Linked DNA regions of Arabidopsis thaliana. The protein of the gene in region 2 purifies or fractionates together with the protein of the main gene of each other region. This does not show direct contact. Each region holds a gene or a part of one and is shown on either strand. Other genes may lie near its edges.

What was found. The genes of interacting proteins can lie anywhere in the genome.
Region 1: the proteins of NAP1;2 (region 2) and IMPA-5 fractionate together in Arabidopsis thaliana (co-fractionation; one large-scale study listed by BioGRID). This does not show direct contact.
Region 3: the proteins of NAP1;2 (region 2) and AT1G63210 fractionate together in Arabidopsis thaliana (co-fractionation; one large-scale study listed by BioGRID). This does not show direct contact.

What each region holds. Positions count from the first base shown.
Region 1 is NC_003076.8:19,991,425-19,996,519, forward strand, and holds IMPA-5 (importin alpha), read right to left. Parts: upstream 3,249-5,095; 5' UTR 3,093-3,248; coding exon 2,886-3,092; intron 2,760-2,885; coding exon 2,666-2,759; intron 2,565-2,665; coding exon 2,473-2,564; intron 2,401-2,472; coding exon 2,269-2,400; intron 2,188-2,268; coding exon 2,002-2,187; intron 1,933-2,001; coding exon 1,769-1,932; intron 1,683-1,768; coding exon 1,604-1,682; intron 1,384-1,603; coding exon 1,255-1,383; intron 1,151-1,254; coding exon 1,023-1,150; intron 941-1,022; coding exon 592-940; 3' UTR 522-591; downstream 1-521. Other genes in the region: AT5G49320 (transmembrane protein, putative (DUF1218)), read right to left, coding at 3,659-4,040, 4,214-4,440, 4,626-4,790. UniProt on the Arabidopsis thaliana protein: Binds to conventional NLS motifs and mediates nuclear protein import across the nuclear envelope.
Region 2 is NC_003071.7:8,436,446-8,442,031, reverse strand, and holds NAP1;2 (nucleosome assembly protein 1;2), read right to left. Parts: upstream 3,577-5,586; 5' UTR 3,432-3,576; coding exon 3,386-3,431; intron 3,282-3,385; coding exon 3,238-3,281; intron 3,010-3,237; coding exon 2,914-3,009; intron 2,785-2,913; coding exon 2,692-2,784; intron 2,470-2,691; coding exon 2,382-2,469; intron 2,278-2,381; coding exon 2,216-2,277; intron 2,134-2,215; coding exon 1,949-2,133; intron 1,866-1,948; coding exon 1,688-1,865; intron 1,601-1,687; coding exon 1,557-1,600; intron 1,474-1,556; coding exon 1,257-1,473; intron 1,161-1,256; coding exon 1,143-1,160; intron 1,061-1,142; coding exon 992-1,060; 3' UTR 531-991; downstream 1-530. Other genes in the region: RECA2 (recA DNA recombination family protein), read right to left, coding at 3-60, 244-300. UniProt on the Arabidopsis thaliana protein: May modulate chromatin structure by regulation of nucleosome assembly/disassembly. May function in nucleotide excision repair (NER). Involved in somatic homologous recombination.
Region 3 is NC_003070.9:23,442,048-23,447,875, forward strand, and holds AT1G63210 (Transcription elongation factor Spt6), read left to right. Parts: upstream 1-1,640; coding exon 1,641-4,916; intron 4,917-4,989; coding exon 4,990-5,307; downstream 5,308-5,828. UniProt on the Arabidopsis thaliana protein: Transcription elongation factor that enhances the transcription elongation by RNA polymerase II (RNAPII).

The DNA.
Region 1 (5,095 bases), on a different chromosome or scaffold from region 2:
AGAGACGAGAATGAAGAAGAGTTAACAACGAGCGAAGAAATAATAAAGCATCTCTGCACCTTCTTACTTGAGCTTGTTATCGAATTCATCTAAATTCTCAAAGTGGCGACCAAATTCGATGATTCAATTTCTCCATGGAAACGAAACACAAAGTGGTTTCGGAATATATGGGCCTTTTACGTTATACCAAAGCCCATAGCATAAGAGCCCATCCATTTCGAAAGAAAAAAAAAAAAACAAATCCGTCCCGCGTCAAAAAAACTGAATCCATCTTTAAAGTTTGACCGTTAGTTCGGTAAACAAATAATTTAACCCTTTCTTAATTTTGACCGTTAGTTCGGTAAATTTGAGTAAAATTTTTTCCTAAAAGACAAAACAATGTGGATTCCAACAGGAAGTGGAACTTGGTTCTCTAACAGGAAGTGGAACTTGATTCCAATATGATGAGTAGCTGTTAGAGAACCAAGTTCCACTTCCTGTTGGAATCCACATTGTTTTGTCTTTTAGGACCATCATATTATGTGCATGCTTTTGGTTCAATATGACAGCTATTTCTTTACATCAAAATCTAATATCAGATTATGTGGGATCTTAACGAGAAAAATCAAACTGGAATTCCGGATGAGAACAACCATCACCACCTTCATCTTCCTCTTCAACTAACCTTCCATCTTCCTCTACAAGCCCGTATGTTTGCAGAATCTTCACAGCCTTCTCGTAGATCTCATTGTTGCCATGGTGCTGCAAGTTCTCAATCTTTTCTAGCCCTTCTGCATCTTCAATCATTTGAGAGTAACAGTTCACGTCTCTTAGGTTCTTGTCCACCTCTCCAGCAATCAAAATCATTTCCAGTCCACCTAGAGACACTAAGATGATTCTTAGATCTGGACAAACCAGGATGTCACATAAAGCTTTTATGCAATTCTGCTCCACCAAGTATCTGATACACACCAATGGATATTGTGAATATAGATGATCAATAAGCATGAAAAAAGTGATAAAGAAAGAAGACAGGGATGTACTTGATTTGATTAGGAGAACCACCCACGGAAGCATTTGAAATTGCCCATATAGCTTCTTTCTTTATGTCAAATTCAGCATGTTGTGCCAGATTGACCAACGATGGAATCAAATTTGCATCAATAACCGACTGTTATCATCATCAATGCAAGAAAGACAAATAGAAAATATTTAGTGATAGCAACGTAAATTGTTCAAGTTCTGCAACAGTAACAATCACAAACTCATGCTCACCTGAATTTGTTCTTCTAAACCGGCAGTGATGTTTGAAATCGTCCAGCAAGCTTCCCTCCTTATGCCTCTCATATGGTTTTGAGTAAGCAGGTCAGCAAGAACGGGTAAAACACCACAATTGATCACACACTGAAAAATAAGTTCAAAGAGTTATTTGGTTACAAAATCTAATCTCAACACAGTACTCAAGCAACATATAAATGAAGTGTTCTCCAGGATATAATCATCCAAGATACAGGATTACAAATTAAGCTTTTGATAGTGCTATTGCTTTGAAAAACAATAAATTCACACGGTGTACAAGAGACGTGTTCTTGAAGGCTCCATCAAAGGAATATGAATTACATACGTGAGTCTGCTGACTATTTCCAGAAACTATATTCCCAATGCAACGAAGTGCAGGAACAAGTACAACTGGAGAAGCGTGTCTGCAAAAGAAAAAAATGGCGAGCCTTCATTATCCAAACATGTATCAAACGGTTAAATTTTTTAATATTTGGAGAGAAGTACTAACTGGAGAAGTTCAACTAGTCTTGGGACAACACCCGCCTCGATCACACTTTGGATATTTTCATTTGAAGCATCAGACAGATTCGAAAGCGCCCAGCAAGCATCTATCAAGACTTGTTCATCATCCGAATAAACAAGTCTTTTAAGTACAGGGAGAACATGTTTCACCTATAAATCATGTTTCATAAGTTTAAGTATTGCACCTATAAAACTGAGGAAATAGAGAAGTAAGAATACCAGGTCAAAGGGTGGTGAAGGCTTGCCACGGAAGAAGTTTGATAAAGTCCAAGTCGCATTTCTAAGTATCGACAATGTAGCATGGTTATTCAGCTGATGCAACAGTGGAATAAATGCCCCAGAGTTAAGAACAAAGTCACGGCACTGTATTGAATCACCAGCAACATTACCCAGTCCCCATATAGCCTGCAAATTAAGTGTAACATCAAACTCTTCAAAATTTGAACTCACATATTTAACCATTCATACTCAGAAGAAGCACTATACCTGCTCACGGACATCATCATCAGGGGAAGCAAGAAGCTGAACAAAGAGTGGCACAACACCGTGATCAATCACTACCTTGGTATGCTCAGATGCGCCAGAAGCAATGTTTGTTAAAGCCCAAGCAGCCTCAAACTATAAAAAAGATCAAAGAATTCAGAACCAAAGATTACACTAATCATCAAAGATGGGAACTTTAAGTCTAACCTGAAGCTTAGGGTTATCATCCTTCTTAAGAAACTCTACAAAACGTGGCACAACTCCAGATTTTATCACATTATCAGTAGGTGGACTTCTATCTGAACAATATATAAAACCACAAGACTTTAAGAAACCATTCAAGTAAATATAAGTTCGTATCTTTTTCAACTCAAGATCAAAGAAAAGTAAAGAGTTTTACCGAATGATAGAACCACCCTGAACCGAGTTGTGTACTCAAGCTGCAATGAAGGATCATCCGAGAAAACCCCAGTGATCATATTCGCTATCTCCAACTACAACCATCACCAGAGAGGATCTAATTTAATTACCCAATTCGAAAGCATTCGAGTATAATGATAAAGGTCGTATCTTTCAAAACCTAGGTTTCACTAATCCAAAACCAAAGATCAAACTTTTACCAAACTCTCAAAGGGGTCGTTGGAAATCAACTTGTAATCAGGAGGCAAAACTTTTACACGACGTTTCTTCATCAAATTTTCGTTGCGTTTACTCTTGCGAATCTCGACTAAAAAGTCTTCTCTTCTTCTGCGTCCTTCTTCCGCATCTACAGAGACTTTGTAACGGATTCGACGGATCTCTGTCTTCGTGCTCGGTCGCAAGGACATAGCTTTCTCGATTCTTCGACCTCTCTAAATCAATTCACAAAATCGAAGCGAAACCCTAGAAATTTGAACTGAATGGGATTTGCAAAGTGAAGAAGAGAATGCAAGAGTGGTGAAGATGAAGAAGAAGCGACAACAGTTTCAATTTGAAGAAGCGGGAGGGTTTTCTAATTATCGTTTTTAATTGTTAACCGTATTTATACAGTAGATTGAATCATAAATCATTGATAATCTAAATTTAAGATAAAGTTTACAATCATATTATTAAGAGCTCCAAATTGAAATAATTAGTCAATAATTATTATAAGCTAAAATACTTGAATCTAAACCGAACTAAACCGTGAAGTTGGTTTAGTTACTCGTTACCGACGATAAAAAGAACCATATTTGCAGAGTTTACTCGTTAGATGTGTAGTGTTTTCTCCGGCGAAGGAAAACCTACTTTTCCGGTAAAGTTCATGTATTGATTGGAAAAAGTAGGTTTTGGTTTGTGATTTTGAATTGCTTATGTAAGAAGTAAAAACATTGTTTTTTCTCATATGATTATGTTAACTACTATACATTGTACACTATACTATATGTGCAAGTTGCTTTAAAGAAACAAGATATTCCAAAGACGTCGATTCATCTCTAACAGTAGCAAGACCTTCTCGAGCAACCGTAGCCATCCGATTTGTAGGCGATCTTGGAGGAGATGCATAAAGAACTGATGCCTCGATGATCTCTCTATGTGTGTTTTCAAGATCCTTAGAGATTCGATGTGCTTGAAGAGCGGTTAGGTAAAGTCCCGTGGCTAGAAAGACGGTTATAAGTGAGAACACTCCGGCCGCTGAAAACAAGCCTTGCCGGATTACTAGACAACTAGGTTTTGGTTTAGACCAGTTCTTTAGATGTCCTGATTCCACACTAAGTGCAACCAACAGTAGAACCTCTCCAACACCAAAGCAAACCCTTATAGGAACAAAAAAGAATAATATAATCACAAAATTATCATTAACTTAAGCTATGGTCAGTAACATAAATATGTCATTTCACGATTGCTTATAGTTAGGATTTTTTTATTTTTATTTTATTTTTTATAACTACATGACATTAATTCGTTGCGTTAGAATAAGTCTACGTACCATGTTGAGACGAAGAAGAAGGCAGCTTGAAAAGTGAGCCTCTTCGCAGGAACAGAGTCAGGATCCCACTCAACCAGAACCAGAGACGGCGATGTGGTGACTGCGATAAGTAAGTACATGTGGAAGCCCACCATCGCCACCGCTAGTCCCACAAACGCAATCGCACCACACAACAACGGCGTTTTCCCGCTACCATTATACACGCATGTTTTGCTTCCCCATGTCGCCTATTGCAAATGATTGACAACATATTAATGGCAATGATATAACTTATACTAAATACTATTATAATCGAACGATATGGTAATTAATATAAAACATGAATCAATATAGATTTCTGATTTATTTTGAAAATATAAATGATGAAAACATATGAGAGAAAGTTTATATACATCCCTGTATAGTAATGTACCTGAGATCTTGTGGCTTCGGCATAGAGGCAGAGAACAAAGCAGGAGAGGCCAAAGATTATTGTCAAAACAGCGATGAAAATACCGGTTTTGCTGCTGAGATCTGTGGTTTTAGGGTTTGGAACAAGATCTTGATGGGTCACAGCTCGCACTCTTGTTCTCGACATGTCTCTCGTCAATTTCTAATAGATAGGAATCGAAGTTACATGTTTTGAGAGTTATTATACTTTGATTTGTTTTACATATATGAGAGGCATTGAAAGTGGGAAGAAAAGAATAAACTGGAGTATATTTGATAAATAAATGAAAAAGGAGAGGAGGATAGAAGAATTGCTTCAGCCAAAGGTTGCTTAAAGGCCAAGATTCGCAGGTTCTCTTTCGGATGTCTTTTTAGAAATACTATACTGTTTTCGTATAGTGTCTATTAAACGATGATGTGTAAAATATATAATGTGACGAGAGTTCGTTAATG
Region 2 (5,586 bases):
ACCTTTGGCAGCAAAGCCTCGGAGCTGAAACGATGTTCCAACCACACTTCTTCTAAGTAACTGCAAAACCCCATGAAACCCTTGTCAATAAACATTACCCAGAAAAAAAGAATGAATTCAAATTAAGAGACAACATTTCGGATTCTTTCTCATGAATGAATACCCAAATAAGCAATGAAAACGACAGTAACAGAGTTTTTTTAATTTCTCGTAATACCCAAATGAGAAACACGATAAACATACCTCTGACGAAAACAGAGAGCTTCTCAGTGAATAAACGTTTCGGAGAATCCTCGCCATAGAAAAGCACTAAAAAGCTTCTTCTCCACTTTTTTAAACCACAGATACAGAAACAAACCAAAAACTGGAAAATTCCAACTACCCAGAAGTCAGACTTGTATGAAAACGGAGAAGAAGAGAAATTTCACTGGAAAAAAAAAAGGAAGAGTTTTTTAGGGTTTTAGGTTTTCGTTTCCCTCCGTTTCAACTATTTTTTTTGGGTTTCTGTTGATCGGTCTTTTACAAGTCGGCAGAGATGTTTTTGACTTTTGTCTTTCCCAGAGAAACTCAAACCGATGTCTAAACCGGCTCATTGATGGGTTATGCAAACCGATAAATAAGATTGATTGGTTTTAATTATTTGACGGTTTGGTAATGTTGGTTTATAAAATTCGATCAATCTTAAGTAAACTAGATTGTCTCACAAATTCTCTCATTAACGAGGGAGGATAAATAGAATTGAATTCGAAATCTGACCAGAGAACGACATTAACTCGAAACAAATTCATAAGATCATTACAAAAGGAAAAATCAAGAGACACAAACCAAACCAAAGAACCCATTTTTTTTTTTTAAATAGCAAACCAATCACCCAAAACTGATATATAATAAACCGGACCATGACTCTGCAAATTAAAGAAACACAACCTCGGCTCAAAGACACTCTTCACTCTTCTTCTTCATCATAACTAAGCCAAGATTCTTCACTTCTTCACTGCTGCTTACATTCCGGTGGCCTCTCACCTGCTTGACCTTCCGCAAGTTGACTTCTTCCAGCCTTCTGTTCATTAAAAAAGGATACCTCAGGTTAGCCATTGCATTATCAACAAAAAAAAAAGATCGAGATTGATTGATTGTTAAACCTTGTGCCCAGCTGATGACTGCAACAAAACAAAAGATAAACCACCAAATCAGTTTCAGAGGTTTTAGTTTCCTATGTAGGAAGGTTTTAAGTAGAACAAAACCACATAATTTACCTTCTTTTTGCTCTTCTTTCCTTGATCTGCTTCTTCCTCCTCGTCATCATCCTCATCATCCTCCTCCTCGTCATCCTCATCATCTTCCTCGTCCTCTTCATCATCATCTTCATCAATCTCATCATCGTCGTCCTCAATATCAAGGTCATCTGCCTCAACAGCTTCACCAGTGAACCATGACACAGCATGCGAGATGATTTTCTCTTTGATTGTTGAACTACAGGATAAACAGTGGACAGACTCAGATCCTAGAACTGAACTAAGTGAAGAGAACTGAATATGAAATAGAAAGGTACACACCCGATATCATAATCATGCTCCATTTGTCCTTGGAGTTCATCAGCCTGTGAATATTAGATGATCAGATTAAAATCCAACACAATCTTAATTACTGACTCTAAAAACTAAACTGCTTATGGAGATGGAAATACCATGTCATCATCAAGATCCTCATCATCGTCAGGAACTTGAGGTGGACTGAAAAAGTTGAAGAAACTCTCACAGTCCTCAGTCTTAGTGATCGGCTTTGTGTTTTTGGATCCTTTCTTTGGCTTCTTTTTTAGAATCTTCTGTGTCAAACACTTTCCAGGATACCACTCAATCTCCGTCCTGAACAGCAGTAAACGACAGTCAATAAAGACTTATTGTCTTCAGAACATAAACAGTAAATACTTGATAGAGCAAAACATTACCCGAGGGCCTTCTCAAGGATAGGCTCATCTTCATCAATCATGTGATATGTCTTGGTCAAGACAGTGTTCTTGAAGTAAGGATTCTGATCAAAGAAAAACTCAAGCTTGAACCCTTTTGGTTCTTCAACCCTACTCCACTTGATATCTTTGAGATACTTGAGAGCCCCTTCATCTCGCTCAGTTATCTAAAACCGTGGAAAAAACCACATAATGATAAAGAGAATCGCCATTTTATAAACCAAAAAGAAGAATATTCTAATAACGAACCTCTTCCGCAGTAATTTCATTGTTCTTCAATGCAATAAGCCAGAAATCTGGTACTCCTTTCTCTGCAGAAAGACAGTTTCATATCATATAAAAATCATGAGTTCACCATCATCATCATAAGATACTAAAAATAAACATGTTTCAGTAAAAGAATCGATAAACACACCTTCAGCTGATTTATCTTCTCCTTGTTCGGATTTTACTTCTTCAGCTGCACCTTCAACTTCGACCACACCATTCACAATCTCATATCGCTGTGATGCAGAAGGCAGAAGACCATCAATATCAGTTACAATCACGAATGATGCAGAAAGAAGTGAAAACCATGAAGCACTAATCATTCACGTAAGTAGCAACAGAGAGAAGTCTTATTAAACCTTTATCAATTGAGGTGTCATCATGTGTTTCAAAGATATTCTAATAATAGGAAACTAAAGACCATAAGAATCTCGCAGAATCAAAGACCGTATTCAAACCTTGGTATATAAAGGCTGATATAACTTTTGATACTTAGCTTCAAGAGCTGCTCTCTCCTCAAAGAATTTTGCTTCCATCTCATCATATTGGTTCTGCAAAGGTTAAAATACAAAAGGAATCAGATAAATTTGCTCCACCAAAAACTCATTAGACCTGAACAGCCAGCTAATTCAAAACCAATACAAAATCCAAGATCATCTAAAAGCTGAAAATTTACTCACCTGAATCTCTCTTAGAAACTCGACACGCTTCCTGACTGGTGGAGTCAAGTTTTCAAGGACATCAGAGTGTTGTCCAGCCAAATTCTGCAACTTGTTCTGCAGCAAACACGTAAATCAAATCAGGAAAAGTCACAAACTTTCAAACAACCAAATTAAGATGCATAGACAATCCTCAAAACCAAAGTCAAATTCTCTAAGCCATAAGAATCAAATCAATTTCTCAAAACTAGTCAGGAAGAGAAAACAATCCCTAAAAGTTACAAAGATGAATAGCCCAATCTCCAGATAGTCATACGCAAATCATATCGTGAAGAAAAAACTCACCTTAAGAGCATTAACAAGCCCGGCACGATCCTCCTCGTTAAGAGCTATAAGCAAAACACAAAACAAGAGAAGCTTTTTTCAATAAATCAAGAGAACAAAAGAGAATCCAGGCCTCATTCTATAGGACAATAAGATTATAATATCTTACCGGTGGAGAGATCGGACATGTTCATGCTGTCCTTGTCGTTGCTCATCTTCGCAAGAAAAGAATCTGGCGGAGGAAGAGGAAGGATAAGAAACCTTAAAACCCTAGATTTTTGGGGACAAATACGAGACAGAGAATATATATATAAATAACTAAAAGGGCTTTGAGAAAATGACCAGACCGAAATAAGACACAACTAAAGCGAAAATAACAAATTTTTACATCAAAATTTGGCATGAATATTTGTTTTTAACATTTAAGAGCATTTCTGTTGATTTTTTTTAAAAAAAGGCTTTTAAGAGCATTTCTATTGGTTAGAAGAAATCTAGGTTGCATGGAAACTCGCCCCGAGGTCTATTTCCCATTTCCGAAACGTTACGAAAACAGAAACTCTCCGGAAACATGAAAAACGTAACGGAAACGCGTTTTTTAAAAATTTATGTTTGGAAACACGATGGAAACTTACGTTTTAAAGATAGAAACTCATGTTTCCCAAATAGACATACGACAAATTTTTTTCAACTTTGAAAATTTAATAACTAAAATTAAAATTATTAAAATTATTAATACATATAACTAATTTTGGAAGACTTTGAGTTTTAAGATATTTCTTTTGATAAACCAGATTTGAAAAGAGCTTTATATTATCTTTGATGAAACTAATGAAAATGAAAATGTTGGTCTAAATTAACTATTTGAACTTGAACCTTTTAATTTTTATCTTTTAGAATTTTAGTTTATTTATTTAATATTGATGTTTTGGACTTGTATTGTTTAAACCATTTTTTCTTTAATATAGTTTTATGTTAATGTTATATATATATATATATATATATGTATGTATGTGTATACGTTTCCAATCCCTAATTTTAAGAAAAAATCGTTTCCAATCCCTAATTTTAAGAAAAAATCGTTTCTCGTTTCCGAAACGTTTCGTATTCGCGTTTTCGTTTCCATTTCATTGCAACATAGGAAGAAACTCACGAGTCTTTTGATGATAGAAGTTTATTTATTTAACTAAAAATTTATTTATTACAAAAGTTTAACCTAATCATCAAAAAACAAATGTATATAAAAAAAAAGTATGTCATGAGTTTCTCAAGTGAAAAAAGAGTCTACTTTCTTTTAGCTCGAAGACAATTCTCATATTCTCATGAATGCTAGCTGATCACATGTTAATGCTTAATCTGGATTGATGCATTGTCATGAGTCACTCAAATTTCATATTAGCACACTATAGTAAGCAAATCTGATTGGAAAACATCTAGTGAGATGCTGCTTTGTTAGTTTAGGGAAAAATGCTTATTTGGTCCTAAAGATTTCGACTTAAGAATAGAGAAATGGTAAAAAAATGTAGAACATCATGCCAATCAAATGATACAAAAGTAACATAACCACCAAACGCATTTGCATGATCTATCTAATATTATATGTACCTATTTTGGTTTAAGGTCATTAATAAACTTGTTGATTAGTTTTTAATAATTTTGTAAAGTTTCTCAAACAATTTCTTTATTTTTATGATATTTTTCACAACTTTATTTTGTAAAAAAAAAGGGTATGATATTTTTCACAACTTTATTTTATAAAAAAAAGGGTAGAAAGTCATAAACCAATAACACAATAATTTAATTCATTATAATAATCATAGATTCTTTGTTTTAAATGAATTACACAAAAAATTTAATAACTTTATAAAAATATGAATCCAATAACTCTACATTTATGAAGATTTTATATTACTTTTTACAAATCTTAAACTAATAACACCAAACTTTAACAAAAAATTGAAAAATCTTTATTGAATAACAACAAATTCTTCATAACATTTTAAGTCACTGAAACTTCGAATACATCACAAACCAATAACACTCCCTAAATAAATTTATATATATTACTAGAAGTCTGGTTATTTGTTTAAATGTTAAAAGATATATGAATTTGTAAACTTAAGAGATTTATGGAATTTAGGAAAATATAAAAACAAAATCCTTATTCTTATTATAAAGTTTCTAAGAAATATACTGTATATTTTTTTCACCGAATAAAGATATTTAATAAATTGAGAAAAGGAATAGAAAAGACCAAAAGCAACAGGCTAAGCGAGACACACACACACGCGCAGTCTTCTTCATCTTGCTTGCTTCTGGTTGCTTAACCAAAACACCATGGAATCTCCCTAAATTTCCTCACCTACTCACTTC
Region 3 (5,828 bases), on a different chromosome or scaffold from region 2:
TATTAGAACAATATCTATTGGAACCCACCCAACGACACGTCTTCACGAATTTCTCAACAAAAAAAAATACTTATACCAAAAGCTAATTTTGTTGAGTGTGATTTTCAAAAGTAAAATGGTTGAAAATTCAAGACACTTCTTTTCATGAATTAATAATGCATATACAAACTCCATGTGATTTCAGTCCGTTTGGTTTTTCCATTTTTTTCTCATTTTTCGTAAATAGAAATAACCTCTAAGTATTCTATCGTGTAAGAAAATAATTTAAGTCTAGAGAAACACCTAACCTTTAAATTAAAAATCATTAATTTTATAGAATAATTTCTTTTTTTTGGCAACGTTAAGCGCCTTAATAACTAGGCTTAAATTAAATCCTTTTTTCAAAAGATGTGATATAAGAAATTATCAATAGTAATTTGGTTTGGTGTTGGGGGAGTGAGTGCCCGTTGTAGTTTTGATCAGTCTGGCGTTTGCTTCCGGTTTGGTGCTGTTTGTGCTAGAGTTTCTAATTGGTTCGTGCTTCTAGTGATCTAGCAGTCTCTTCTAAACACTTGTCTTTGGCTCAAACTCGGTTTCTATTGATTCAAGTGATCGTCGGTCTGGTTTGCTTCTTTACTTTTTTCAGTTCTTAGGATTCATTATCCCATCCTCCGTTGTTTGCTTGATCTTTTTTTTTTTTTTTTTTTTTTTGTTTTGCAATTCTTAATTGTTATGGTTTTTTGTGCTATGAATTTTATTAAGTGTTTTCGGTAGATTCTGCTTTAGTTTTCGAGAATTTCTTTGTTTTTTATAGGTTTAATATTTTAAAAATATATTTCACCTATATATTTTATCATTAGTTTATATAATGAAAAAATTAGTGGAAAAAAGAATTATCAATATAAATTTGTATGAATATGAAAAATAAATCTCTTAATGAATCGAAAAAAATACCAAATATATTAATTAAATATCAGCTAAAAAAAGAGTTTCATAAATATTTTTAAAAATAAGAAATGCTTCAAAACTTCAATTAGTAGCCTCTTAATGCTGGTGTGAACCCTAGAAGTACGAAAAGCCTTTTTCTTTGTTTCTCTTCGCAAAATTCAGAATCAAATAGAGACTAGTTTTACGATCACAGAGTTTCTAGGGTTGATCTCCATCTTCATCGATTTCGTATAGCTAAATATTCTAACCTAGTCATGAATAGGATCGACGAAGGTACATAAAAAGCTCTGCTTTCAAAAGCCCTAAATTCTCTGTTATTATTATTTTTCTAACGATTCGACTCTGTTTTTGAGACAGAGCCCCAGATTCATGAAGATCCAGTGGAGAACCGTGAGGAAGATGATGAAGACGAAGATGATCAGTATGAGTTTGACGATGGGTTTTTAGTGAATGGTTCTGATGATGGAGAAGAAGAAGAAGAACAGAGACATTGTAGTGAGAAAAAGAGTAGAAGTCGAAGGAAGAAAGACGAATCCTTTACTCTTCACGAAGATGATTATCTACTTCTTAAAGATAACAACGACACTTTCCAAAGAAACAAGTATAAACGTTTGAAGAAATCTTCAGAGGAAGAGGATAAGATCAATAATGATGATGATGATGATGATTTGAGTCACTTCATTGTAGATGAAGATGATCATGGTGCTCAAGGAATGAGGAGGAAGAAAATGAAATATAAGCAAGGAACTGATTCGAACGCTTTACGATACGCTAATGATGTATTTGGTGATCCTGAAGAATTGTTGAAACTTCGGAAAAAGGATTTGAAGTATAACGAAAAGATCGAAAGAAAGTTAGAAGATGAGTTTGAACCAATGGTTCTCTCTGAGAAGTATATGACGGAGAAAGATGATGAAATTAGGAAGCTTGATGTTCCTGAGAGAATGCAGATATTTGAAGAAGCCATTGGAATTGTTTCCCTAGATGACATGAGCATTCAAGAAGAGAGCAACTGGATTTATGCTCGATTGCTTCAAGAACAAGGGCAGGGTTGTTTGATTAATAAGGATGACATTGTGAAGTTTTTAGAGATGTTTCATGTGCAGAAGTTAGAGATACCGTTTATAGCTATGTATCGGAAGGAGCAGTGTCGGAGTTTATTGGACAGTTCTGATGATGATCATGATGGTAGTGATTTCAATCTTGACAAGAAGCTTGAGACCAAGTGGCATAAAGTCTTGTGGATGATTCAAGATTTGGATAGAAAGTGGGTTCTTCTGCGGAAAAGGAAAACCGCGTTGTTTGGTTACTATACCAAACGTTTTGAAGAAGAAACCTGCATGTCTGATCTGAATAAGAGTCTTTTTGAATCTGTTATTAAGTCTCTTCAAGCGGCGGAGACAGAGAGAGAAGTTGATGATGTAGACTCAAAGTTCAACTTGCATTTTCCTCATTGTGAGATCGATGAAGGACAGTACAAGAGGCCGAATAGGAAATCGCAATATAGCATCTGCAGCAAATTTGGGATTAAGGAATTTGCAAACAAGTTTGGTTATAGCGCTGAGCAATTGGGACTAGCGTTGTCTCTTGAGAAAGTTTTTGTTGATGAGCTTGAAGATGCAAAGAAAACACCAGAGGAGATGGCATTGAACTATGAGTGTGCAATGTTTGGAGATTCTCAAGCTGTTCTTAAAGGTGCAAGGCATATGGCTGCGGTTGAGATAAGCTGCGAGCCATCGATTAGAAAGTATGTTCGTGGAATTTTTATGGAGAATGCAGTAGTCTCAACGAGTCCAACACCAGATGGGAATGTGGTTATAGATTCCTTCCATCGGTTTTCTGCGGTTAAGTGGTTAAGCGAGAAGCCATTGAGAAAGTTTGATGGTGTACAATGGCTTCTCATTCAGAAAGCAGAAGAGGAGAAGCTTCTTCAAGTAACTTTCAAGCTGCCTGAGAATCAGATGAATAGGATAATTAGTGAATGCAGTGAACACTATCTAAGTGTTGGTGTTAGTAAGTATGCTCAACTCTGGAACGAGCAGAGGAAATTGATACTGGAGGATGCGGTTCATGGTTTTGTTTTGCCGTCAATGGAGAAAGAAGCAAGATCCTTGCTAACTAGCAGAGCGAAGACTCAGTTGCTTTCAGAGTATGGACAGGTTTTATGGAACAAAGTGTCTTCAGGGCCATATCGAAGGAATAATAATACCTCGGAGGAGGAAGCTGCACCGAGGGTCCTAGCTTGTTGTTGGGGACCTGGAAATCCAGAAACTACATTTGTGATGCTTGATTCATCAGGAGAGCTGGTTGATGTGCTTTACTCAGGTTCCATTGGATTGCGGTCTCGGGATGTAAATGACCAGAAACGTAAAAAAATGGATCAAGATCGTTTTCTAAAGTTTATAAGAGACCATCAACCAGATGTTTTGGCTTTAGCAGCTGTTAATTTGAGTTGTGTACGCCTGAAGGATGAGATTTATGAGGCTATATTCCAAATGGTGGAAGAGCTGCCGTTGAATTATGTAGATGATAGGATTTATGATTTTCCATTGGTTTATGCGGATGAATCTCTTCCTAGGCTATACGAAAATTCTAGAATCTCAAGTGAACAACTACCTCAACAAGCAGGAATTGTGAAACGCGCAGTTTCTCTTGGACGTTATCTCCAGAATCCATTAGCAATGATCTCAACTTTATGCGGTCCAGGTAGAGATATTCTGTCTTGGAAGCTTCATTCTTTTCAAGATTTTCTTGATCCAGATGAGAAGTATGAGATGGTTGAACAAGTTATGGTTGACATAACGAATCAAGTTGGAATCGACATTAATCTGGCTGCGAGCCATGAATGGCTTTTTTCTCCTTTACAGTTTGTTTCAGGTCTTGGTCCTAGGAAAGCTGCATCTTTGCAGAAGTCTCTTGTTAGAGCTGGTTCGATATTTGTCCGCAAGGAACTGATAAATCATGGGATTGGTAAAAAGGTATTCGTAAATGCAGCTGGTTTCTTACGGATTCGTAGGAGCGGGTTGGCTTGTAGTAGCAGCCAATTTATTGATCTGTTGGATGACACTAGAATACATCCCGAATCATACGGTCTTGCGCAAGAATTGGCGAAAGATGTTTATGCTCATGATACTGTAAGAGGTGATGAGGATGATGCAATAGAGATGGCGATAGAGCATGTGAGAGATGAGCCAGCTTCTTTGAGGAAAATCGTTCTTGATGAGTACTTGAGAAGCAAGAACCAAGAGAATAAGAAGGAAACTTATAGTCTGATCATGAGAGAATTAAGCTGTGGATTTCAGGATTGGCGGAGTCTGTTTAAAGAGGTTGATTCAGATGAGGAGTTTTATATGATTTCAGGTGAAACCAAAGAAACTATTGGTGAAGGGAGGATTGTGCAGGCCACTGTTAAGAAAGTGACAAGTGGTAAAGCCAAATGTGTATTAGATTGTGGATTACCTGGGATTCTCTTGAAGGAAGATTACTCAGATGATGGTAGAGATATCGTTGATTTGTCTAACAAACTGTGTGAAGGCGATATCGTTACTTGCAAGGTCAAATCGATTCTAAAGCAAAGGTATCATGTGTTACTTGTCTGCAAAGAAAGCGAAATGAGAAAGCACAGGAATCTCGGGGATGTCGATGATTATTACCACGAGGAGAAACGAAATAGTGTCCTGATAGAGAAAGAGAAAGTTCCTAAAGAAAAGAAGCAGTTTAAGTCTCGGATGATTGTTCATCCTCGGTTTCAGAACATCACTGCCGAGCAAGCAACAGTGTATTTGTCTGATAAGAATATTGGAGAAAGCATTGTTCGTCCAAGCTCACGAGGACTGAATCATTTGACTTTGATGATCAAGATTTCTGATAATGTGTATGCTAACAAGGAGATAATCGAAGGTGAGAAGGAGAACAAAGATATAGTGAGCTTACAACGTATTGGGAAAACACTGAAAATTGGGAATGAAACCTTCGAGGATCTAGATGAGGTTCGTCTTTATATTCTTACAAAATTTCAGTTTTGGTACAAGTGAAAATACTTATGCGTTTTCAATATTTCAGGTAATGGATCGGTATGTTGATCCTTTGGTAACTCATCTTATGACAATGCTAAACCACCGGAAATTTCGGACTGGGACAAAATCGGAAATAGATGATCTTCTTCGGGTTGAGAAGGGTGTGAATCCGAAAATGGTAGTTTACAGTTTTGGTGTTTCTCATGAACATCCAGGGAGCTTTATATTGTCTTACATACGATCCGCAAATCCGCACCACGAGTACATCGGTCTATACCCTAAGGGATTCAAGTTCAGGAAAAGAATGTTTGGGGATCTTGATAAACTGGCTGCTTATTTCAAGAGACATATCGATAATCAATGAACTTGAAGGTACTATTTATCATGTATTCATGAATTTTTCCACTCCTTAGCCCAAAGAATTTCTTAGACTGATTGCTTGCTTTGCAAGAAACCTATATGGGAAATAATAGTTTTGTTTTTGGAACGTTAATTAGGTCTGTTGTTTAGTAGAACTATACAAGTATTCAACTTAAATTTCGTCAAAAGTGTGAAAGATCCCACAAGAAATGTGAAGAGACGAAAGATTTAATTAGTTAGCTTTGTTTATTGCGGACAGAGTGTTGTTTTCAATTCTAACATCTCTGTTTTGTTTCATGGGTTTTTCTTTTCCGTTACTTTTGGGTTAAATGATTGTTTTTAGATTCATTTATGTAACTAATGATGTTCTCTTACTTTTTTTTTTGCAGATTGATTTTAAGGTATGGTTTTTGCTGATGTTTGGTTCAAGCACAAGAGCTACTTTAGTATAGTTAACTTTATATCAGTGACTTTTATGTTGACAATTCAATTACGCCATGAGTCAATTTACTTTTTCCTACTCTC